4 linked regions of the Arabidopsis thaliana genome follow. The protein of the gene in region 3 interacts with the protein of the main gene of each other region in a pairwise test. Each region holds a gene or a part of one and is shown on either strand. Other genes may lie near its edges.

Evidence for each region.
Region 1: the proteins of AT3G09250 (region 3) and ADG1 interact in a two-hybrid assay, tested with the Arabidopsis thaliana proteins (one large-scale study listed by BioGRID).
Region 2: the proteins of AT3G09250 (region 3) and AGL8 interact in a two-hybrid assay, tested with the Arabidopsis thaliana proteins (one large-scale study listed by BioGRID).
Region 4: the proteins of AT3G09250 (region 3) and AT2G45920 interact in a two-hybrid assay, tested with the Arabidopsis thaliana proteins (one large-scale study listed by BioGRID).

Annotation. Positions count from the first base shown.
Region 1 is NC_003076.8:19,568,035-19,573,853, reverse strand, and holds ADG1 (ADP glucose pyrophosphorylase 1), read right to left. Parts: upstream 3,617-5,819; 5' UTR 3,529-3,616; coding exon 3,265-3,528; intron 3,166-3,264; coding exon 2,599-3,165; intron 2,520-2,598; coding exon 2,340-2,519; intron 2,181-2,339; coding exon 2,077-2,180; intron 2,004-2,076; coding exon 1,892-2,003; intron 1,813-1,891; coding exon 1,714-1,812; intron 1,627-1,713; coding exon 1,507-1,626; intron 1,414-1,506; coding exon 1,297-1,413; 3' UTR 1,050-1,296; downstream 1-1,049. Other genes in the region: AT5G48290 (Heavy metal transport/detoxification superfamily protein), read right to left, coding at 4,196-4,795, 4,869-4,874. UniProt on the Arabidopsis thaliana protein: This protein plays a role in synthesis of starch. It catalyzes the synthesis of the activated glycosyl donor, ADP-glucose from Glc-1-P and ATP.
Region 2 is NC_003076.8:24,501,346-24,508,658, forward strand, and holds AGL8 (AGAMOUS-like 8), read right to left. Parts: upstream 4,925-7,313; 5' UTR 4,669-4,924; coding exon 4,484-4,668; intron 3,972-4,483; exon of another isoform or gene 3,956-3,971; intron 3,591-3,955; coding exon 3,512-3,590; intron 3,427-3,511; coding exon 3,362-3,426; intron 2,942-3,361; coding exon 2,842-2,941; intron 2,703-2,841; coding exon 2,661-2,702; intron 2,493-2,660; coding exon 2,451-2,492; intron 1,743-2,450; coding exon 1,639-1,742; intron 1,503-1,638; coding exon 1,391-1,502; 3' UTR 1,089-1,390; downstream 1-1,088. UniProt on the Arabidopsis thaliana protein: Probable transcription factor that promotes early floral meristem identity in synergy with APETALA1 and CAULIFLOWER. Is required subsequently for the transition of an inflorescence meristem into a floral meristem.
Region 3 is NC_003074.8:2,836,410-2,841,501, forward strand, and holds AT3G09250 (Nuclear transport factor 2 (NTF2) family protein), read left to right. Parts: upstream 1-2,590; 5' UTR 2,591-2,670; coding exon of another isoform or gene 2,671-2,703; intron 2,704-2,844; exon of another isoform or gene 2,845-3,069; coding exon of another isoform or gene 3,070-3,078; coding exon 3,079-3,217; intron 3,218-3,331; coding exon 3,332-3,845; coding exon of another isoform or gene 3,846-3,885; exon of another isoform or gene 3,886-3,946; coding exon 3,947-4,009; exon of another isoform or gene 4,010-4,151; coding exon 4,152-4,176; 3' UTR 4,177-4,205; downstream 4,206-5,092. Other genes in the region: BSK9 (kinase with tetratricopeptide repeat domain-containing protein), read right to left, coding at 1-221, 309-394, 480-585, 647-780, 886-1,021, 1,290-1,510, 1,610-1,691; PYK10 (Glycosyl hydrolase superfamily protein), read right to left, coding at 4,248-4,455, 4,537-4,645, 4,735-4,837, 4,920-4,954, 5,065-5,092.
Region 4 is NC_003071.7:18,895,970-18,902,234, reverse strand, and holds AT2G45920 (U-box domain-containing protein), read right to left. Parts: upstream 3,607-6,265; 5' UTR 2,873-3,606; coding exon 2,651-2,872; intron 2,573-2,650; coding exon 2,451-2,572; intron 2,352-2,450; coding exon 2,247-2,351; intron 2,076-2,246; coding exon 1,844-2,075; intron 1,745-1,843; coding exon 1,421-1,744; coding exon of another isoform or gene 1,336-1,420; coding exon 1,138-1,335; 3' UTR 932-1,137; downstream 1-931. Other genes in the region: AT2G45930 (uncharacterized protein), read left to right, coding at 1-290; AT2G45910 (U-box domain-containing protein kinase family protein), read right to left, coding at 4,023-4,208, 4,376-5,122, 5,306-5,830, 6,038-6,172. UniProt on the Arabidopsis thaliana protein: Functions as an E3 ubiquitin ligase.

The sequences.
Region 1 (5,819 bases), on a different chromosome or scaffold from region 3:
CATCTTTTTGAACTGTGTTTTTCTCAACTTTATTAACGTTGTAACAATGTGGTATGTCATGGGGGTCAACTTGGAAATTTTGTACCAAAACATCTAATAATCATTGTAGTTAACCTTATATGTAATAAATAAATAAAAAACTAATGTTAGGGGGGTCAAATCTCAAATAAAATTGCCTTTTGTTACAAGTCTCCATGAGGTGATACTTTCATGTATGTTTGTCAAGGAAGGTCTTGAAAACCCTGGTGGTTCTTCCCATCTTTCTCTCAGGAATTTTACTCTCTAAGAGTTTTGAAGAAATATGTTGAAAAGTAGAGAAAATGATGAATTCAATTTGAACTTTAAAACAAGGTGAAAAGGAAATTGAAATAAAGGAGTCATGATTATCATAGAGGAATCAAAGCTCAGAGAGTGATCAGAGAAGAAGACGTCAAACTCATATATCACCGTAGAACATTCTTCAAAAAAATCTTCCCAAACTGAGAGTAATCTCTGATGTCAACCGACTCACTAAAATCAGACTCAATCTTAGGAGGAGGAGTTGGAAAAAGACTCTTCTGGATCTTTTCAGCTCCCTCCAAGCTCAATGCATCTCAACTATCACTCAAACGAAAACTTGCCATTTTTTGAATGATTCCAAAAAGTAGTTGTTTTATGAATAGAAATGCCAATCATTGGCATAAATAAACCACACAAGCCGTTCTTTATGGCCCTTTTAAAATATTGGTGGTCTTGTCTAGAGTGCACTTTACTTTCTTTCTTTTTATCATTTGGATGCAAACATTTCTCTAATGTGTGTTATTCATGTATATTAATATTTTTTTTAACATGTATTCTTTTGTAAAATCACATTTAATTATAATACTTTGTAGGTTTATAAATTAACTTTAACAGAAAAAAAAAACTAACATTTGTTAGTTTTTTCGAAAAAGATATATATATATATATATATATATATATATATATATATATATATATATGTATCTATTTAAAATTAATTTTATAGTTTTAACATCTTTAAAACGAATAATGTTGAACTACTTATTATTATAATAAACTTGAAGAAACTTAATTTTATTGATAATAAGCTACAAAAGATAAATTTAGTGAAATTCATAGGGTCTTCTTTTTTCTCAAAAGAGACAATGGTATTGTGAAAACATGATTTCGTAATCTCTTTCGTAAGCAGCATTACAACTAGTAGTAGATTTATTGGGGCTTAAAAAGCCATAAAGAAAACTTATTGATAGGGCATTAGAAAGATGAAGAAATAAACAAAGGAGCATTATGTGTACTTCAGATGACAGTGCCGGTTGGGATTAAGGCGTCTTTGATAACCGTTACAATTCCGCTCTTTATGAAATATCCATCAGTCTCTCTCGCTGCCTCTTGCACGTTGTCGCTGTTTATGATCTGTGCCAAGGTCCACAACAAACACATTTTAAGAGCAGAGCAAGTATGAACAAAGCTAAACATCCTGTGTGTGTTCCAAATATAAACACTAACCTTGACATTGTCACCGATACGTGCGTTTTTGTCGATGATGGCCCTTTTGATGTGCGAGTTTTTCCCAATACCTATGGGTACACTTCCTTTCGCGCTTAAGAGGCTCTTTTCCGTAGCAGTCTAGGCAAACAATCATCAAAGAAGACCACCATCATCAAAAGGTTGACATTACTTAGCAAGAAGATTGATTGCAAGACAGATTTTTACCTCGTAATAATCAGCTCCCATTAATAACGAATCTTCAATAATAGCACCTTCTGATATGCAGGAACGGAGTCCAACCACAGAGTGATGAATTTTGCAGTTCTGTGCCCAAAATTCATAAGACATTGGTGAATTCGTATGTCCGTAAAGCATATATCGAACAGAAGCGATTTGATTGTACCTTGATAACACAGCCCTCTCCGATGACACTGTCAGTAACATCAGCATCAAGCATCTTAGACGGTGGTAAATAACGCGGCTGTGTGTAGATCGGAGCAGAACGGTCATAGAAACTGCATCAAGAATTCAGATAAGTTAAGTAATCATTCAGATACAATAGAGAGTGTAGTAATGCGGTTACTGTACCTAAAATCAGGAACTGGTTTCTTGGTGATTCCAAGATTAGCGTTATAAAATGCCTCTATAGTACCAATGTCTTCCCAGTAACCATCATATAGGTAAGCTTGCACCTGCAGTGCCCATGATCAAAGTTAGCAGGTTTTGCCTTCTGCATAGCATAATCAGCTACAAGAAGCTGTTGAATCCGAAAGCAAACCATAGAGTAACAGAGACTTGCTTGAGCATCAGAATACAAACTAGATGTTGTAAACATGAATATAAACACTCACCCTCAGTCCAAGGGAAGTGGCACCGGGAATGACTTCACTTCCAAAGTCATTAGCTCCAGGAAACTGATTCCGTAGTAAGTCTAGCATTACATCTCTGCTTACAACATAAATACCCATACTAGCAATGAAAGGCATCTCCTTGGCTCTCTGATCATCAAGACCTAGAATTGTTGTGTCAACCTAGGAGCAAAGAAATCGAGATTTTTTAATTTACAAGGCCGCATGATGAAGCAGAGAAGTAGCGTAAAGTTTATAGTACCTTCATGGCCTTTAGGTGCTCCCCTTTTGGTTTTTCAGCAAATTCAATAATACGTCCTTCCTCATCAATCTTCATCAGCCCAAAAGCAGTGGCTCGTTGCTCGTCCATTGGTAATGCAGCTACTGTGATATCAGCATCAGTCTCCCTATGTGCTTGAATAAACTTCTCATAGTCCATTCTATACAAATGATCCCCAGCAAGAATGAGATACTCCAAGACATTATGCTCCTCGAACAACCACAAGTATTGCCTGACGGCATCAGCTGTCCCCTGGAACCAGTTGGGGTTTTCAGGACTCTGTTGAGCAGCGAGAACTTCAACGAATCCTTCATTCTTATAACCTCCCATGTTACTAGCATAAGCTCGTGAAAGATGACGATTCAAAGACGCGGAATTGAACTGAGTAAGAACATAGATCTTGGATATGTTGCTATTCAAACAGTTGCTCACAGGAATATCAATAAGCCTATAGTTAGCACCAAGAGGCACAGCTGGTTTCGCTCTCTTCTTCGTAAGTGGATAAAGACGAGTTCCAGCTCCACCTCCTAAGATTATCCCCAAAACACTCTGCAAATTGACAACAATTAACAGTTCCAATTTGATCTCAACTACATTCCTCAAAGCTTAAACAACAAAGATAAGAAGAAGAAGATAGATGATGCTTACGCTGCTAGCATCAGGATCGAGACAAGTTTGAGAGTTTTGAGAATCTGAGACGGCTTTGGGAGAGACGATGATCGGATTCCTGCGAACAACAGATTTACAAAGACGGGAGACGGTGGATTTGAGTGAAATCTTGTCGTCGGATGAAGTAACAGAGGAGGAGAAAGAAAGAGTCCTCGTGGGAACCGCCTCCGTGGCTTTTCCGGTGGAATTGGAAGTCGAAGCAGGAGGTACCTTGAGAACTCCAATTGCAGATACAGACGCCATTGTAGTATTCGATCAAAGGAAGGCAAAATTGAGAGTTTTGGAGTGAGAGTTTTGTGGTTGTCTTGTGATTGTGGAAAAGCGAAAAAGATCTCTTTTTTATTTTCTTTCTTAATATGTGATGGGTTCTCGGGAACCGTTAGTTTTTTTCAGTTGAAATTACGTTAACACCCCTTTGAGTACGTTACGTTTACCGTTGCGGAGCAAGAGTAATGGGGGTGTTTTCGGAAATCTAGTGGTAATATTTTAATATTAAATTAGTAATATTTCACAGTATTCAAAATGCTGATTATTCTGGAGGAGTCAGAACATTATTGCACAATGACAAGTCAAGATATCATATTCAAAATTCCAAAGATTACGATTATACCTAAACTAAAATCCGAATAGTGAGTGAGAAGATTCTGGGCCAAGATTGGGTCGGGTCATTTGAACAGTGTGCAAAATCTTTCGAATAGTGAGTGATTTTGCTGTGCTCATACAAATATTTACTAGGAAATGCATAAAGATTAAAAGAGCATGTTGAGATAGCAGTAAATTGATTTGGTGGCCTCAGAGCTTTATTCATATGACTAAATAGTAAACATAGTGCTTCTTTAGTTCTTTACAATAAAAAAAAAAACATTGGTCATCATGCTCTCTCTATCAATCTTCCTCTGTAAAACTCATTTCACATGATTTTGCAATTGGGTTCGTGATTGTAAACGGGTTCCCCTATATCATTGTAGGGATGTGCCGGATGGCACGGGTATGGAAACGAGGAAGGTACACCGTCTCCCTGGGGAAAGGTGGAAGGCACACCGTATCCTTGATGAGGAAAGGAGGAAGGTACACCGTATCCCTGCAGAGGCCATGGATAACACGGCACAGGTTTTGGCTCCGGAGGTTCCTTGTCATCTGGCCCTTTCTTATCGCCACCTTTTTGGTCACCGCCTTTTCCCTCTGCACCCTTTCCGTCCCCTCCTTTCTTCTCGTCTTCTTTCTTTGGTGGTTCAACTTTGGTCACGCTCACAAGCTCTGCGAACGCTACCTTCTTTCTGAGTATTTGGATAAGAGGGATCATATCAACTTCAACGCCGGTTACCTCTATCTGGTTCCTGTGATCGCCTTTTATTTCCACGGCTGACACGCCTATAAAACCATTAGATCCAACAGAGTTTGGTAATCTTTTTTGTGGAAAGGTCTTCTTACCTTTAAACTGAACTGCTTTTGTCATTGCTTTTGCTCGGGTTTTGTCATCGGTCATAGTCACTCTTATCAAGATCTTTTGCTAAAAAAATGATATGTTGTAACGTCAATCAAAGAAGCCATAAAAACACATACATAAACCATATAATACTTACCTTCATCTTCTAGTTTTGCTTGAGAAATCGCTTTGAATGTTTTGGCTTAGATTTCTTGTTTGGTAGAATACAAAGTCTGAAGAAATTTGTTTTCTTTTGTTTCTTTTCTTCTCATCAATTAGTCATTGTCGATAGTTGTGATTTCGTTTTCAGTTTGTTATAAAGAAAAGCTAATAAAACCATAACTCTTCTTTCTTTAAAGCTAGTTGCTAATTCCTACAGTCTTATTCACAATTCTTTGTTTAAAGTATTTAAAATAAAAATAAAAAATTACTTTGTTAAAAGCATTTTTTTGTGTGGTTTTTGGTCAACGTCAGAAAAATAATACAGTACTTTACAAATAAATAATAAATAATAAAAGAAAATACAGTAAACAATTATTGGATATTTAGATGATTGACTTGCATTGCGTAAGCTAAGAGTTATGCAAGACAAAAAAAAAAAAATTTATAATCGAAGATACCAAACTAAAGTCCTGACTAAGACTAATCCTTATGTTATATAATACGTGGAATGTTGGAAACTTAGCACTTAAAACATTTACAACGACAAATTAGACAAACCTTTAACCCTTTAGCCAGTGAGCTAAGGGTGTTTTCACATATTTATTTAATTTATTAACTAATTTTGTATACTAGCTATCTTCTTCTTTCATTTGGGTCTAAATTTTGTAAACTCTCTGTCATTAATTTAATAAATTTCCAACTATATCTGCTCAGCTGGACTGAAATTTCATTGATTTGATGATATTGGGCCAAGCTGGACTGAGATGTCTGTGAGAAATTTGAGTCTAACTTTGATGTCGATGTCTTGAAAAACCAGTATATGATTTTTTGAAGAAAACTTTAATGTGATTATAAGAGTCTTCACTGATTAGATGGTTTGCTTGGGATGAAGACTTTAGATAAATATTTGTGGCATACAAGAGTTTAGACAGACCCGTTGTTCATG
Region 2 (7,313 bases), on a different chromosome or scaffold from region 3:
CATGAACTAGAGATTTGTTGGGACTCTGAAGCGGTGAGAGATTCTCCGACAGGAACAGAGCCGTTTCTGATGTTTTGAGAAAAAACGAAAAATGTTTGTAGTTGCAGAATAAGAACCAGATGGATTATTGAACAAGAAAGAGAACCCATTTTACTGAAGCAAAGATGTAGAGATTAAATCTGCGTATATGTGTAAATATAAAGACTTTTTAGTTCTAACTCTCTGAGTCAATGACTCAATGGACCAGGTTTTGAAAAGCCAACAGAGACTTTTAAGGGTAGGAACAAATAGACTACATTGTGGTTGTGTGTGTTTTGTCTTTAGATATTTCTGATTGTAAACGTAAAAGATGGATTATCAAACAAGAAAGTAAATCCATTCTGCTAGAACTTGAGATTACATGCGAGTGTGTGTGTGTTTGTTTGTGTGTGTGTGTGTGTTTGCATAATGTAGATTTGTTCGTTACTATTGAACGTAGGAAAGGGGTTGAGAAGACTTAGACATTTCTTGTTCTTTCTCTTAGTCAATGAACCAGATTTTGAAAGAGTCAAAAGTCTCTTCTCCTCCATACAATATTACTTAAGTCGTGAACATGTGTTCTAAAGTCTTTTAAGGGTAGGAACAAAGTGTGGTTGTATCTATATTGTGATAGGACATTCCTGAATTGTATACGTAATAGCTTTGTATTCCTTGTGTTTGGATTTTGAATAGTAAAAGAACAATTTTGCTCATTGACATTTTTGGATGATAATACATCATATTCAGTTGTTAATTATTTTTGGATTATATACCATCATAGAATCACATACTTTGTTTTCTCACTGAATATTTTATAAATTTTTAAAACACATGCATATACCATATTCAGTTGTTTATAAAAAAAATATAGAATCACTTTTAGAATATTTTTGAATATTTTGAACAATTATCGTATTTATACAAACCTTTTTCCATTTTTCAAAAATCAAATAATCATTTGTGCCATGCGGTACCTTGCTGCGACAACTTTAAAGCGCAAATAATGAGCACATTTACAAGAAGACTAAATTTGAGCAATTTTGAATATCAGTCATAAAAAACATAGTGATCGCATTTACAAATGATAGAATATTGATATATTGCGTTCACCACAGTTTAAAAAGTAAAAGTTACATTAATTATTCATGAGAAATCATTACCAAGATATGAATCTTTGTTCTTAAGACGCAGTGAATCTAATGATAGCTTACGTACATACGTCTCGACAACGGAGTTCCATCATACATATAATATGACTAGCTAAAACATATCGGTATTAATAATGAGTATAAGTCACCAAAAAAATGCTGAATGTTATGAAAATATTAAACATTAATTATATTATCATTATATTATAAAGAGTGAGATAGTTCTACTCGTTCGTAGTGGTAGGACGTAACATCCAAGCCGGAAGCAGAGAGTTTGGTTCCGTCAACGACGATGCACCACCGTTCTCTCCCCCAACTCTCTCCACAAAGCCATCTCTGCCCATAAAATTAAATTAATCAGAATCATTCATAGATATACATGTACAAATTTGAATTATATATATGCACATGGCACAATTAATCAACCTCTTAATCTAATTTGGACTAGTACTGAGAGAGAGAAAGACGAGACCTGGAGGAGGTTACGCAGTATTGAGGCAGAAGAACTGAAGAAGAGTTGGAGCATTGGACTAATTGTCCTTCTTGCTGACCCGTTTTCTTCTCCCTCTCCTTAATCTAAAATTATTGTTTTGCCATTAGTTAGTAATAATATATACCAGCATAAATCTACAGTTGCAAAAATTCTATAAATAAAATATCTGAGTTGTCAGAAACAAATTATACAAATATTAGAAAACATTACCACTTTGAGTCTTACGAAGAATTTATATCAACTTCATATATATACAGATCAAGAACTAAGGTAAACTAAAATCGATCTAAACATTTTTTTTTCTTTTGATATATGTATAACTAGTTTACGTCTAGATAGCTGCATGATCTCAACATTGATTTTTATTAGAAGGGTTATCAATAGAGGATTAAATAATGACCATTTTTTGGGATTAGATAATGACCATTTCTAATGCTAAAAAAACTAAAAACCATTTCTAATTTTTTTTATCTTACATCTACTTAAATTCTTCACTCAGATATTATGGAAACATTATTAATATAAATATATATTTGGTCTCCATTATATATTAGTACCGGTTTTTTGCTATTATATTTTGTTTATGTAATAGGATTAATTACAAAAATTAGAGAATTATATATGTAGTAAAGTCACATATTTTTTAAATACTTTTATAATATATAAAACATTGTTAAACCTAATCTTTTTAAAAAATTATGGTGAGATGACATACTGTAGTTAATTATTTCAACTTCTATCAATTTTAAACTCATATATAACCACTTATATCAAAAATAAGTTGTACTTACCTTTTTGAGAAGCGAATTGTTGTGATCTTGCAAGGCTTTATCCTGATGATTTAAAAGAAACAAGTAGAATTATGCCTCAAAATGATTTTTTTACGATGTACCTAATTGTGATTTGATATTGGTTGCAAACATAGTTATATATATATATGAAAACAATACTTTTCGGTTGTTATATATATTATCTATCTAAACAAAAAGTTGAAACTTTACCTTCTTCTGGAGCGCAGATATGGATTCGAACATAGCTTGGTTCTGCGAACATCAGACATTAGTTAATTAATAACATCTCAAATTTAAAATTCTGAATTCTTTGCCAAACTCAACTTCTCGATCGAAAGCTTTACATACATATGTAGACGTATGTAACTATGTATCCATGTTGTCCTATTACCTTTCTTGACCTAATGCTCTTGATAGCTGCATCGAGCTGATGCTCCAAGCTTTGGAGCTCCTTCAAGCTCAACGAATCAAGATCTTCCCCCATAAAATTCCTACACATTTTCGTATTTTGTGACTACTGCTTATATAAGCAAACCGTGGTTGTTGCTAAGGTAGAAACCATTGATATGCCTTAGTTTTTATGATCAAATTGACAACAGAAAATGAACTTTATGAGGATCCAAGACACAATTCCCCCATAACCGTATAGTGTCATAAACTTATATGAGCAATAACGAAGTCACGATCAATACACATTCATTCCCTCTTAAGTAAAGGAAAAAAGTTGAATACATTAGAAGTTTGTATGTGCGACCCAAAAGTTTAGTTAACTTGGGACAAATACTCTTGTAAATATATGTTTTACTTGGCTATTTGATTAGCACGATCTTAATTTGACATTGTGCACATATATAAATTTGAAATATATATGTGCGATCATTTGTAAATTTGAAATTATAACATATATATACCTTTTGTTCTTCTCAAGTACCTCAACTCTTGCCTTGAGCTTAGCATGTTCTAGAACCCAATTTTCCTACAACATTGGTGTATGATAAACATTAGTTACTACAACAAAAATACAACATTAAGTAGCTAAAAGAGACATATCTAAAACTTACACTTTGTGAAACGTCTCGGCCAACAAGTTGTTTGTCTGAATATAAATAGCGATCATAGCGTTCAAGTATCCTCTCCATGCTAGATTTAAGAAAGAAAAAAAAGGTCAACACTCGATTAATTTGATCCATAAAAATTATTATAATTTCACATGTTATAATGTGTAACATTTGTTACAAACTGCAAGCCAAAAGTTTACCGTATTTGGTATACCGACAAAGAATAGCTAAAAATAAGAATATAACACAAAAATGTATATAGAACCTGGTTTTGGTGAGTCCACAAAACATCATAGAAAACATACGTACAAATTCAATTTAAAGATTCGAGTTTCCCTCCTGACTCGGTTATCAAAGCAAACGATCACTATAAATCTCTATGATCGTACATAAAAACATATATATACACTTTCACAAAACGCATTTAAAATATCAGTACGAACTTACATATATGTTTAACGTTATGTTATTGTCCATTGGGGATTATAGCACATCCTTGTTATAAATGCTTTATTTCATCGTTTCAAATCAACCTTTCTTTCAAATATATGGTATACTCAAGTATTATTATACATGTTATCTACATACATATCTTCGTACGTGTCTGAGTGCACGTGCTTCCATACATCAAAAGGGGCAATCAAATCGTGAGTGTGTGTACTAAGTTTCATAATTTTATGCTATTTTCAATTGGGTAAAGGAAAGGAAATTTAGAAATAAACATAAACAGCTTTTTCATGCGTCCGTACGTAAAATCCCAAAAAAAAACCCTAATTTCTCGAGCCAGTTCTTAGGGAACAAACAAATCTAGAGAAGATATGAAAGACCAAGATACGAGATTTGGATTTATTTCCAAGGCTGACGACGATCGAGATCGAGAAGTACGAATAAAAAACAAAATCTGGTTAAAGATCAAGAAAACAGATAGATATGATCGATGTGATATATAATATAAAACATTAAAAAAACATTTACCAAGAGTCGGTGGAATATTCGAAGAGTTTGCCTTTGGAAGAGAAGACGATGAGAGCAACCTCAGCATCGCAGAGAACAGAGATCTCATGAGCTTTCTTGAGCAAACCAGACCTTCTCTTTGAGAAAGTAACTTGCCTATTGATCTTGTTCTCTATCCTCTTCAGCTGAACCCTACCTCTTCCCATATCTCTCTCTCTTCAAAATCTCAAGAACAAGAGAGAGAAACGACAACCCTGAAATGACCAAAGTATCTCTCTCTCTCTTTCTTTCTTATGTCTCTCTGGGTATCTTTTGTGTTGATGAATGTGATAATAGCTATTTTATTTTTTTTATTTTTTCTTTTATGGACTTTTGTTGGGTTTCGCGTGAGTCTACAGTGACGTAAGTGATGTGGTATAAATACGGTATGTGACGTGAATACATAGACGATGATATTTGTGGAAAAAAAAGAAAGAAAAAAAAAACACAAAAGCTACATACGAGTGGAAGAAGAGACCAGAGTGGAGATAAAGTTTTAAGGGCTGTTTGGGAAATAAACCATTTGATGTGTTGTCGAGTCCTCATTGGCTACTTTTTACTGTGCTTGTAACTCGTTCGTTAGTTTTGTGCCTCCCTTTAGCTTACATTGTTTCCGTACCGTACGGACTTTTGTTATTGTTTTTAAGGTTAAGAAATCAGACCAAAGAACTCAATAGATATTAAAGGAGAATAATCTTTAACTCCTTAATACTTTCTACAGTAACACTATAACGACTATATATAGGGTTTAAATATTCTTTCAAAATGCAAATTGTATTTTGGTTTTTTAATTTTTCTTTTTGCATGGAGACAAGTTTTTTTCTGGTTAAATGCACGGAGAAATTTTAATTTTATTTAAGGTGACTTTCTGTTTTTCCTTTAAACAGGGAGAAACATTGTGCTTACAATTTCAAAGATATATATATTAGATAAAATTAAATATAGTGTGTTTTAATAAGTACACGAAAGAATTTGACCCAATTGTAATAAAACCTTAGGAAAAATAGTAATTTTATAATTGCAAACACAAAAATAACACGGAACATTTTACAATATTTTATCCTGCTAAATTGGAAGGAAAAAAACTAAAATGATGTCCTTTTCTTCAATTTCAAGTTAAGTATCGATCTTCTCTTTGCTCTGGAAATTGATGAACCTACAAAGTGGAAGCTAGGCTGAAATTTAGCTGCTGAACCAACAAAACTCTTAACATCAAATGAAGCATGTTCTATAGATCGTGGCGTTGATCTTTTTGGACCAACCAATATGCAAAATGCATATATTGTTGTAAAAAAAATGCCTATATTCCATAACTTATTCACTTGATATACTATAATTTTTCTTTTGACCGGGAAAAAGTGGCCTATTTATGGGAAGAGAATCTCAAACGTATGATACTCTCAATGTAGGAAAAGTCTCTAGACTACCATTTTCTTTTACTCCTTTAGACCCATTGGATTTGGGTAGATGGATTTATTAAATACAATGTAAGGAGTTTTTAAATGAAATATAAAGATACTTTAATGATTAACTGGTAACTGGTAAATTGGTAATGTACTACTATTGTAGTCAATGTAAGAAAATAGTTACGAAAATAAAACCTTTTCTGTCAATTAATAACTCACTACTATAATTTTTGTAGGATTAACACATCACACTAAGCTATTTTATGACTAAATAAGTAAATATAATTTCTTCCGAAGGTTCAACTTTTTGAGTGGTTATTGAATAGGGAACGTGTTCCGATAAGAAGTTAACAAAACAACATTCATGTCGGTCCCATGACTATTATATGTCTGACTCTGTGTGATATCGATATATACATAACATATATTGGTCTGAAAAGTGGAAAATCTATTTTAAGATTTGGTAACTGATCAATGAATTGATAACTGATAGTCTGATACCAAACATAAACTAGTTTTGTACACTAACAAAATAAGAATGAAATATCAAATTTTGTAAGAATTGGTAACTGATATAATGAATCATCGTAACTGATTATTTTCTTTTACCTTCCGACGTAAATTTGTTTATGTTGCTCTTAATTATGTTCGTACCTTAATTGATCATAAACACATAAATTTTAGTGATTCCTTATGTCGAGTTGTCAATGGTTTGGAAGATTGGTAGCTCCTGACATTTCATCGGAATTTCTTCTCTCCAACAGCTCAAATTCTGATCGACAAGTTCGATGGGTTACTCCAAATTTGGTTCCGGTGCCAGTTCTCCCAACTACTGTTACGGTTACTGTTTCTATCAGAACTGCGTGACTGTGGCCTGATTTTTTCATTAGGCTGAACTAACTTAGTCTAGACTGACACAATATATATGTCTTAGGAATGTACTTTCTGCTAAACAAATACAGATGATGTAAAAAAATAAAATTTTATAATTAATTGGACTATACTTTAATAACTCAGAATAGATATTAATTCGAAGCTTGTGTTGGAAATTTGGGATTTAAGGTAGAAATTTTCTATAGTAAGCTATTCTTGGTAGGGTACAACTTATAAGTGAAGGGGAAGAAATATATTATATAAAAAAATTTTAAAAAGAGAATATATAATTCTACGAGCATATATATATGAGGGTGTTCGGTTAGCAATTTTTTAGCATAGACAAACACTCGTCCGACTAAAATGTATGTAAAGGTACTATAGACTATATAGTATATACCAAAATTGGACCACATGAACAAAAAGAAATGGACCACATTTGTGTGTTGATGAGCCCTAAACATCTAAATGGATGGATAGTACCTAAACGTATTTAATTTCTCTGAATCGTTATTAACATAAATTTGGTTCTC
Region 3 (5,092 bases):
GGGATGTTTTCTTCTTTGACGTTGGGCCATAACTCAGCTCTTTTCTCAAGTCTTGAAAGAGCTGACATAAGAAACTTTATGCTTGGCCTCTCGTCTGGTTCAGGGCGCAAACAGCGGGAAGCTAGATGGATAAGTTCTGTTCTATCCTCATCAGAGAATTGACCATCCAGAGCTGAATCCATTAGCACCAAATAGTTTTTACCACGGAACAGATCAAGTGCCTGAAATGACAGATAAGCTAAAAATCAATGAAACTGCTAAAGATACATTATGTATATACACATTTTGCTTTGTGAGAAGAAAGTTACATGGTTTGGTGGAATATGTCTGCCGCTCATAAGATCCAGTAACAAGGTTCCGAAGCTAAATGTGACACTCTCCGGTATCACAGTACCTAACAATAAAAGTAAAAGAAAAACATCTTTGAGATTTCAGCTGATGAAGTTTTCTCTCAAGAAAATTAAACATAAAACACATACCTAGACGTAAATATTCAGGAGGAGCAAATGCCAAGTTGGTACTATAGCTCTTTCCCTCTCGGCTACACTTCATGAGACCAAAACAAGACAGCCTAGGATTCCCAACCTGTTCCATCACTTTTATAAATAACTTATGATAACATCAAACCGCGTATGAAGTTTCTTACCTTGTCAAACAATATTCTGTAGGTGTTAAGATCGTGATACAAATCTATTCCCCAATCATTACAGTACTCCAAGGCTGTTGCAGTATGTAACGCAACTCTCAACCTCATTTCCCACTTCATTGGTCTTTTCTCCCCTGAAAAACCATTTTAGAGTAAAAACAACTTAGACACAATAATGAAACTCTAAAGTAAAGTTTAAGGCCAAAAGAGATCAAGAACTTGAAATGTTTGAGTCTCACAGTGAAAGAGATGCTTAGCAAGTGTTTCATTAGGCATGTACTCAGCAACAAGCAACCTCTCGTGACCTTCTGAGCAACAACCGATCAAATTGGCCATATGCTCACTCCTACATCTCCCTACAGCTTGTGCTTCCTCCTGAATAACAAATATGCCATATTCAAGAAATTTTCCTCTGCAACAGATCAAGCATAGAACCGAATTGAATCTTTACTAAGTCAAACAGACTTGAAATTTGCCTCCTCTGCAACAAATCAGAATCCAGAACATTGCAACATTCAAGAGAAGTATCACGGAGTTAGTAACCAATAAAGTCAAATCAGATGAATAAGCGATCACTAGTCAAATCTTATACAAAACCAAACAGAGAAGAATCAATAAGTATTGATGGGTAAAGGACACGAACGATGAATTCTAAAGAATCAGGCCATGAAAGCCGTTGAAACCGCTTGACGGCGATCTTTCTTCCGTCGTTGAGCTGGCCTTTGTAGACGATGTTAGGAACCCTCTCGTTGTGCTCCGACACGATGTTGTCGGCGGAGAATCCGTCAGTTGCGACTCTCAACTGTTCCAAGCTGAACTCCAGGAAATTAGGACAAGTACTTCCTTCATCTTCTTCTTTATTATCTGCAGCCAAAACTATTAGGTTAGTTCTCTCGATCATCGTCTTCTTCAGAATCTAATTAACGCATAGGAGGAGTGGCTGGCGAATTCGTTGGATTTTACCTAGATCGTCGATGACGGTGATGGTGGATGTTATCGACGGAGAAGACGATCGACGCCAACGTTTGAAACAAATGCAGCCCATCGCCGGCGACAGTAGTTTCTCCGGTGGAGAAAAACTTTTCAAGTGCTTGGTTAAAAACTCCCGCCTGCAGGGAGAAAATAAATTATTATTTTTTTCTTTTTTGCCTAGCGAATATTGTTGGAAAGTTTTACGGAGAAAGTGGTAAAATAGACCCAAAAATATCATTTATTTATATATCACATAATTAAATAGTTGATGACCAATATATACTTTTTTTTTTTTTGAAAAGATCAACCTTTATACTATTATAAGGATAAAATGTCGACATGATCTATGTATTAATTTAAAGAAAATATTGTTTGCTTGTTCCATTTAAATTACTCGGTATTAGATTAATTTTGAGCATAAACATTACAGGTTTTTATTTTGGTAAATAATCATTAGACTGTTGAGTTTGGTCTTTACTTTAGCCTCAATTTTAAAGTCTATATTCAATGGATTTTGCTTACATACATTTCATTCACGTTTAAACCGAAATTAAAATATCTCATTTAAGTTGTAACCAAAAAAAAAAAAAACAGAAAAATTCTCATTAAAATTAATTTTTGCTAGTTACCGCAGCTTTTCGAGACTGGGTGTGTAATATCCATCACACTAACCTTTTTTTTTTTAATCCATCCATACGTTTAACTACATTTAAGCAAATATCGCTATCAAATCGTTTTGGTATATTTCGCTCATTACTGGCAAAATTCACTCTACAAAAAAAGTCTAGTTTGTAATGGGACGCTCGTTTTTAGGTGACTTATATAAAAATAAATAAATAGATTAAAAAACAAATAAAATCAGTATAGGCCTAAATAAAAGTTAGCTTACGGACCATTTATGATGAAACTTGGGCCCTAATGCAAAGCCCATTAATTTTATCTTTGGAGTCTGAAGTCTCTCCTCTCTGTGCTTTCACATAATCACATTGCATGATTGATCAAATACTCGATTTTCCGTGAAATCTCTTTGAATATTTCGATTCCTTGTTACCATGGCGCTTCATGGGTCTGGAGTTTTTTGTAAAGTAAGCTATAATTCTTCTCTTTGAGATTTACTTCCTTGATTCTTCAGCTCTAATCTATACTTAAATGTTTATCATACGTTTCTCGTAAGTAATCTCGAAATTTAGTCGATTTTCAATAAGAGCCCATTGATATTGGATGATTTATGGTTCATATACAGAGTTCTAATCTTGTCTGGTGTGAGAATTCTTACGGATTAGTAGGTATTGTACTAAGATTAAACCCTAGAAGAAATTCGATCAGAAAGTGTTTGAATTTCAACACTGAGATGTTCAATATCCGAATTTGTTGCTACTCCACTTGATGCAAATGGTTATGTGATTCTATTGTTGTGCTAATATGGCCTTGAATCGTTTGCTCCCTGATAGGTTTCAAACATGGTAGAGATCACTTCTCCGTTTGGTGGTTCCATGAGGCTGCTTCACTTGCCTAAATCTTATCCGATTCACTGCAACATGGTTTCAGCTAGCAATACATTTGGGTCAGCTCATCTCAAGCTGCAAAACAAAGAACCGTGTGAGTCTACTTGATTTTAGTTCGAGCATCTTATCTAGTAGAAGATCTGGTTTTGGATAAGACCGGTTTCTTTAGACTTGGTTCTGATTAGTGTTCTGGTAACATTTGAAGCAGGCTCCCGTTTAAGGCCTTGTCGAGTCAAACGCGAAGAAAATAACCAAACTGCGGATGTTGAAAGCATTTCAATGGATGAGAACACGTTGAAGCAAGATCTCGAGACTGCGGTCCAGGAAGAGAATTATGTGGAGGCAGCTAAAATCCGTGATAAACTAAAAGAGCTTCAAGAAGACAACAAAGCCTCTGTTTTATCAGCCAATTCTCGGTTCTACCAATCTTTCAGAAACGGGGATTTAGCTGCGATGCAATCACTATGGTCAAAATCAGGAAACCCGTGCTGTGTACATCCAGGGGCCAAAGGCATAACTGGTTATGATTACGTGATGGAAAGCTGGGAGCTTGTGTGGATGAACTATGAGTTTCCGTTACTGATTGAGCTGAAAGATGTCGAGGTTCATGTCCGAGGAGAAGTAGGTTATGTAACGTGTATGGAGTTTGTGAAGACGAAAGGGAGTAGTAGTTGGGGAGCTCAGTTTGTGTCGAATGTGTTTGAACGGATCGATGGACAATGGTTTATATGCATTCACCATGCTTCTCCTGTTGATATTTGATCAAAGAATCGAAGAAACGATACACATTTTCAAAACGTTTTATTTTTATATGCGTTTGGAGGTTGCGGTGGGATACATTGGTGGTTTGCTTAAGGGTGATGAAGGACTGTTTTTTATTTCTGAGGTTGGCGATTGGGAATGAAAACGCCACACAAACGAGAAGAGGCATAAGTTGTGACGTTTGTACTAGAAGAGGCACAAAGGATCATTTTATTATAACCAGAGCCTTGTAGATCTGGCAAATCATGTAGACAATGAAAAATGAGAAGAAAAATAAACTCTTTTTATTAGAACCAAGACCTCATGAATCTTGGTCACTCACAAAGTAAAACATAGGAAAAACACATTGAAACAGAAATAGCTTAAAGCTCATCCTTCTTGAGCGCGGATGGACGAACACCTTGACTGAGGAAATCCTTGTAATACTTGCCGGATTCTTTCTCGTAACGTGTGAGGTTATTTTTGAAATCAACGTAGTAGAGTCCAAATCTGTTTTTGTAACCATCTTGCCACTCGAAGTTATCCAACAATGACCATACAAAGTATCCTGTAACATTCACTTTGTCGATGCTGCAGATATTACACAAATGTTTTTATTAGATTCTTCACTACAATTGTTAGTATATCAGATGAAAAGGAAATAGGACATACCAAACAGCTTCTTGCATACTCAAAAGATGCCTCTGAAGATAATATTTCCTGTTATGATCAGCGGTACCAACAGCAACAGAATCTGAGGCCCCTAGTTCTTCTCCATATCCTAAAGAAGAACATCAACATCAATATATTTAGTTCTAAGATAAAATCAACCAAATAATAGTTGACAGTAACAATAGAATCTCTAGTTACCGTTTTCCATGATCATAATTTCCGGATTTGCGTATTTGTCCTTAATGTACTTCAACAGACTTCTAAAACCTCTCGAGTAAACGTTCAATGCAGCGGTCAAAGGCTGAAAATAAAACAGAGGTGAGAATGTTGCATCATAGACAAATGTAGCACATAAAAATTTCAGATTGCTATTAAATTTATACCTTGCTACCAATGGCGTAATTTTGCGCATTCTTAGCTGAAAAGAAGAGATAGGTTTCGATTAGTACCAAAAACAAACATTTTCCCTTTGATTTGTTGCCATTGGTTTTCTTGGTTCGGTTTCAAGTAAGGGCAAAACAAACTTACACTCCCATGTAATAAGAGAATCTTGCAT
Region 4 (6,265 bases), on a different chromosome or scaffold from region 3:
GCCTCATCACTAACGCTGCAATGACTTGTTCACCAGATCAAAGTAAAGATTTTGTAGTGGCTGCCAATTGTTTAGGACTTGAGATCCATTTCTTTAGGCCTTGTGGCAAAACTGACAACTACTCGGGTTTAGGCTTTAAAACCGAATCCCACTTTTTTGATCAGTCAAAGGTTATGTATTCAAAGAGAGATAAAAAGTTCTACACTCCTAGTGTTGGAGGCCATTTGTTGGGTTTCTGGGATTCTTGCTTCGAGGATTTGAGTTGCGGTTTTGCAACCTTCCTGAGGTGACACAGTCCGAGTGGGAGCTCTTGGACTCATGTTCCCCGCCGACTGTACACCTCGTTGAGTCTCCCTCAGGACAGCGTTTCCTAGTCAAGTGGTACGCTCAGAACTACAAACCGGGCGAGAGGATGACATTCTTGTGTCGTGGAACAAAGCATTTCATGGTCTTTAGAGAGGAGGAAGATATGAACATGTGTTACACTGAGGACATTGGAGATCTCTGCATATTCCTCGGCAGAAGTGAGCCCTTCTGTGTCAAGGCAAGCTCATTCCCTGGCTTAAACCCTAACTCCATCTATTTTGCAGGCGATGGCTTTGGTGTTTACGATATCGCCACTAGAAAACCACGTTCCTTTCGTCCCAAGTCTCCCTCAGCCTTCTCCACAACACCACTCTTCCCTTACTGGATCCCTCCAATGCCTCTCTAGTTACTATGCAAACTTCATTAGTTATTCTCTTCTTGTATTTTAGTTGGTGGATCCAATATAGAATCCAGTTTCTTGTTTCACTTTGTGTTATGTAAACTCGAAAGAAACTAATGAAGACATGTTCACAAGCCACACACTGACACAAGATGAGAAAAGAAGAAGTTCACAAGCAGTTACGTCTCACACACTGAAGATAAAGTCAATTAACAAATGGGATTTAGTATCTTTTCATATTTTATTTCGTTAATTGGCTGTTTTCAACGTAATACATATGGTCAGATTGTATTACTAAGAAAATAAATAGAAAATGGAGAGAAAAATGAAGAAAAGGTTTTTCATTACATGGGTTTAATATAAAGTACAAGTAGACGTGTTCGTTGAAGCAAATGCTTAAGAATATATATTTAGTGTGATTTTATTTCTGTTCACTTTCTAAAAGAGGATGAAGCGTGAAGCCATTCCTGGATTGCAGATCGAAGAGCAAGATTTGGAACTAACTTTGTATGATGAAGCTTCGTGTTTGTCATTGGGGAAGTCTCATGTCCTCCCTGAAGCCATGTACTTATGGCTTCTGCTTCATATGTAAATCCATCTGCTGCTAGTTGTGGATCCTTCATCACTTCCTGAAACATTGAAAACAAAGGTTTTAATTTGTGAACTGATTCGATACAATCTTCTGTTTCTCTCCATATTGACTTTTTTATTTACCAGTGAAATGGGACAGATGAAGTACTGAGGAGCTTCACGGTGCTCATCAGATCGAGAGACCTCTTTTCTTAGCTCCTCTACTTCTATAATTGCTATGTCGCGTCCTTTAATCAATAAATCTCGTTCTTCCTTGGCTTTTCTCAACACTTTCGTTGCCAAGTTATACTTGTCTTGCAGCTTTTGTACCAACATATAAGACTCGGTTATTCGGTTCTCAGATATATACCTCATCTTTTCGAGTTTTTCTCTCACTTTCTTCAGCTCCATCTCTGTTTCTTTCCTTTGTTTCAACTCCTCCAAATAGGCACTTTCCCATTCTTTACCCTACATTTGGTCAGAAAACTTCGTTATCATCAGGAAAAAAGGACAACATTCCCAATGGGCAATGGCAATAGCTTATGTGAGATTCCAAGAAGATGTTACCCTTTTGATTGCTTCATTTTTCTCTTTTACAACTTCTTGATGCTTGAAAGCCTCCAAGCTTGCTTCTTTTTTCGATTTCTCAGCTTCAAAGACAGCTAACTGATACACATTTCCATTTCCTCTAGATATCGTGAATTGGCGCGAAGGTATAACAGATCCTCGTGAACGGACTGAATCTTGACCAGAACTTGTAGATGCATACTCTAGAGAGGTGTTGCCCATGATAGATTCCCTGCATTATACCATCACCAGATATATTAGAGCTTGTGACATGTGATTGTTCTCACAATCTCAGTTCCTGTTAAAACTCACAAGAGTGTGACAAAACACAAATATCATTTTAAAAAAAACTTCTGAAGTAGTATTTACAGTTGTACAGAGATTACAGGGACTAGGGGTAGACCTTTTATATACCAGGTATCCTTTGCAAGTAAACCATATACAACAAGTAGCAGGCGCTTCTTGACGAATGTAAATGGCTTTCGTGGACAACAGATCTGCCATCCTCCTACAAATTAAGATTAATGATGAGTCCATCGGTGAAATAACAAGAACTATGAGAAGATGAAAATCCAAAACTATTTAGTTATGCCGGTGTGCTTTGTACATTGAATAGCGTGTGTCTGACGCAGCTCCCATGACGAGCTTCTTGACATTGCGCTCTGAGATCAATTGGATGATCCCTTTCTCTACCGACTCCATTTTAATGTGTATCATCTCAGCACAGACCTAGAATATCACAATCGGCTCTCTTTATCTCTTGTATCATCAAATCACTTATTCGCAATAGAAGTAACAAAAACATACCTGCATTTGCCTGCATTTTTGTAGGTATTTGTCCAGGATCTTTTGTGTCTTTTCCTTTTCTTTTCTGTAGAGTGGCTGGTGAACGTGGACGATACAGAACTCCTTGCCTCCAGTGTTCTGTATCGCCCAAACAAGAGTGGACTTGTTCCCCAAGTCACTCCCCACTGCAACATATATCTTCTCATCCATCAGCAGCTGCTGCGAACCTGATTTGCCCATCATCTCTCTCTATCTCCATCTTGCTTGGCCTGGATTTTAGCGTTTAAGGCTGCATCGAAGCCTCATGAAGCCAACACTTTTCCCCTTTGCTTGGATCGAAGCTCCTATCTCCAACACACTCCATATGAGAACACTCAAAACATACCTCTAATTCACTCAAGAGAATAAACAAGAACAAACTTAAAATTTGCAATACGAGAAAAGAGATGACTTATCTAACAGAGGGAGCAATCAACAAGCAAGAACATTTTCTTATGTTATAACATGCACACGAAGTCAACCACGGTACCAATGACGAAACCTAGCCTTAACGCAGAAGCTGAATCATGTATTAAAATAATGAAGGCTTTTTGACTTTCAACAAGCCAAACCAGGAATCAAAAGCGACAGTATCTGTGTATGAAGAGAAATGTCGACATATTGACACAAATACACGAATTTCACAAGACTTTTGAGAAAATCCTGAAGAATACTCTCAGCATTTTCCAGGTTGGTGTCTTTAAAGGCTGCGTTAGGTTGGCTTACCTCAGTGCAATCCTGAATTTTTATACAGTTATGCCACTAGCCGCCAAAACGACCTGACCCCACTGCTAATTAAGTAAGATTAATCACAAGAATTTTAAGAGTTCATTAAAAATCACTATAGGCAATCCAAGGTAACTTCTTCCAGGTGGAAAACAAGTCTTACACGATAGTCTTGACTAAAAATGTAAGACTCATCCTAATTTTAGCTAAGCAAAGGCATCATCAGTGAGATCATGTCCAATAATTAGAGGCTAATCTTTGTTCTTAAGAGAGCCGAACATAATGGAAGAACAAAATAGTGGCAGTTCTTCTCACACAAACCGAATAAGCATATAACTTTTTTTTTCATACAGAACATATATATATATATATATATATATATATATATATACATATCCACATACAAATCTCACCAGCTTCTTCTTTTCATATATGACTGATATGGAGGACTTACACTATGCTTGAAAAAGTAAACAAATATGCTGCTATCCATGATTAGATCGTATGTATATGTATAAGGAAGACTGAAAACACTAATCTTACTCACTTACTCTGTTGCCTCCCGCAGAAAAGGCAAAAACGTTTTTTCATAAGAGAACAGGGATTGAGGGTTTGAAGGATTTTATTTTCACAAATGATGTTGAAGCCACTCTTGAATCGCAGAACGAAGAGCATGGTTAGCTATTAGGCTGGTGTGAGAAAGCTTGACATTGGTCATTGGTGAAGTATCATGCTCACTGTCCAGCCACGCTCTTATAGCCTCTGCTTCGTATGTGAAACCGTCTGCAGCCACGTGTGGATCCTGCATGACTTCCTGAAATATTTGAAAACAAAGCAGAGGAAGAACGGGTTGAGTACCATTAGACTGCAACATAACGGTTTGAGACCTCAGATAAGCAAATTTTAATGACTTTGTGATCGAAGTCTTCTCAGATTGATAATAATACTGGAAATCCATACTCAAATATACAGATTAGTTACCTGGAAAATGGGGCAAATGAAGTATGGAGGGGCTATCCGGTGCTCGTTACGGCCAAGATGGAAAGATGAAGATCCTCCACTAGAAGCCCTCATAGGTTCAAGTACCCTCCACACTTCAGTTCCAAGATCTGGACGATTCTCGCTGACAGTCTCGCAGCATCTCAATGCTAAGCGAGCAAGCTGCTCAGCCTGAACAAAGGGCCAGTCCCCTGCTAAAGGGTCCAAGAGGTCGTTCAATGTTCCATTATCGAGGGCATATTTCACTTCATTTGATATCCGTAAGGCAGGTCTCCCGGTCAACAAGCGCAATAAGATAATCCCAAACGAGTAAACATCTGACTTAGGAGTTAGCTCTCCACTACTGGAAGCTTCTGGATCCAAATAGGCAACTGTGCCTGTAACGTCAGTTCTCACACTTTTGCTTCCGTTAGGATGAAGTAGTGAGCAGGTCCCAAAGTCACTTAACTTGCTAACGAGATTGGAATCGAGTAGGATATTTGCCGGCTTCAAATCACCATGTACTAAGCTATGAGCTTTATTAGAATGAAGAAAGACAAGTGCTGCACATATCTCAGTGGCAATGCGCACACGATTTTGCCACGACAAGGGTGGAGAGTTGTCTTTGCAAGTAAGCCTGTCTTCAAGGCTTCCACCCGGAAGATACTCATAGACAAGACTCCACCCCTCTGGACATGCTCCAATTAGCGTAATGATATTTGGATGCCTCATTTTACTTAGGACATCAACCTGCAATGCCGCAAGAATAAGTCAAAGCTCCTCCACAGCGAACACTATAAAATCAAAACTACAGTAGAACTGTGTTTCAAAGTCCCCTTTTTCGTAGAGGCAGCAGTTTGTGCACAATAAACCAGTAAACAATGATGATGAAACTAAACAAGAAATTTCACTAATAATATGTCAAGAAAATACCTCCTGTTGATATTCTACAGGGCCTTGCGAACTGTTAGGATTCAACATTTTTATAGCCACCTGAGTATGACGCAGTAAACCAACGTAGATGCTTCCATATCCACCTTCCCCAATCTTCAGGGTCGAATCAAAGTGATTAGTTGCTTCCTCAATCTCGGAGAATGAGAAATCCGTGAAGTACTGAGGCAACTGTAGGGTTGAGGTTTCTGCGTGACTCCTTAACTCCTCAGCTTCTCTGAGTGCTCTGTCACGTTCTGTCTGCAACTCCTCTCGTTCATCCCTCAACTTTTGCAACAACTTCACAGCTATATCAAGCTTCTGGTTTAGCTTTTCCATTGTACCATCAGATTTTGCTATCTGGCTCTCAAGCATCGCTTTCTGAGCCATTGCACTTTGAAGTTCTTCCATGATCACCTCTTGCTCGTTTTTTATTGTTATAAATCTCTCTTTCTCTTTCGCTACTGCTATCTCCGTATCTTTCCTTCGCTTCAATTCCTCAGAATAGGCACTTTCTGATTGTTTAGCCTATAATAATTACCTATAATATCAGTATACTATAATATTTTAGCTGTTATTGGTGTAACTAGAAGCACCACTATTAAGCCTAGGGATCTCTCCAAGTGATACACTAGCGGTTCCAGTATAGTATATATCTCCAGCTAGAACATCTAGCAATCATTTCCAAAAAAGTTTTAACAGTGCCAACTAAATTATTTTTGTAAGGAAACTCACCCTTCTGATTGCATCAAGTGCGTTTTTTTCGGCTTTCTGACGCCTAAGAGTCTCTGCAAAAGCTTCTTGTTTTGAACTGTGAGCCTCTGACGTGGCTTTTCGGATTTTAACGTTAAAAGAATCATCCACCCCATCCTGCAATGATGGACAAATTTCCTGGACAGCTGAGATACAATGTTATATGAAAATCAAAATGCATTGCTTTTCCATTAGGAACAACATGGCATA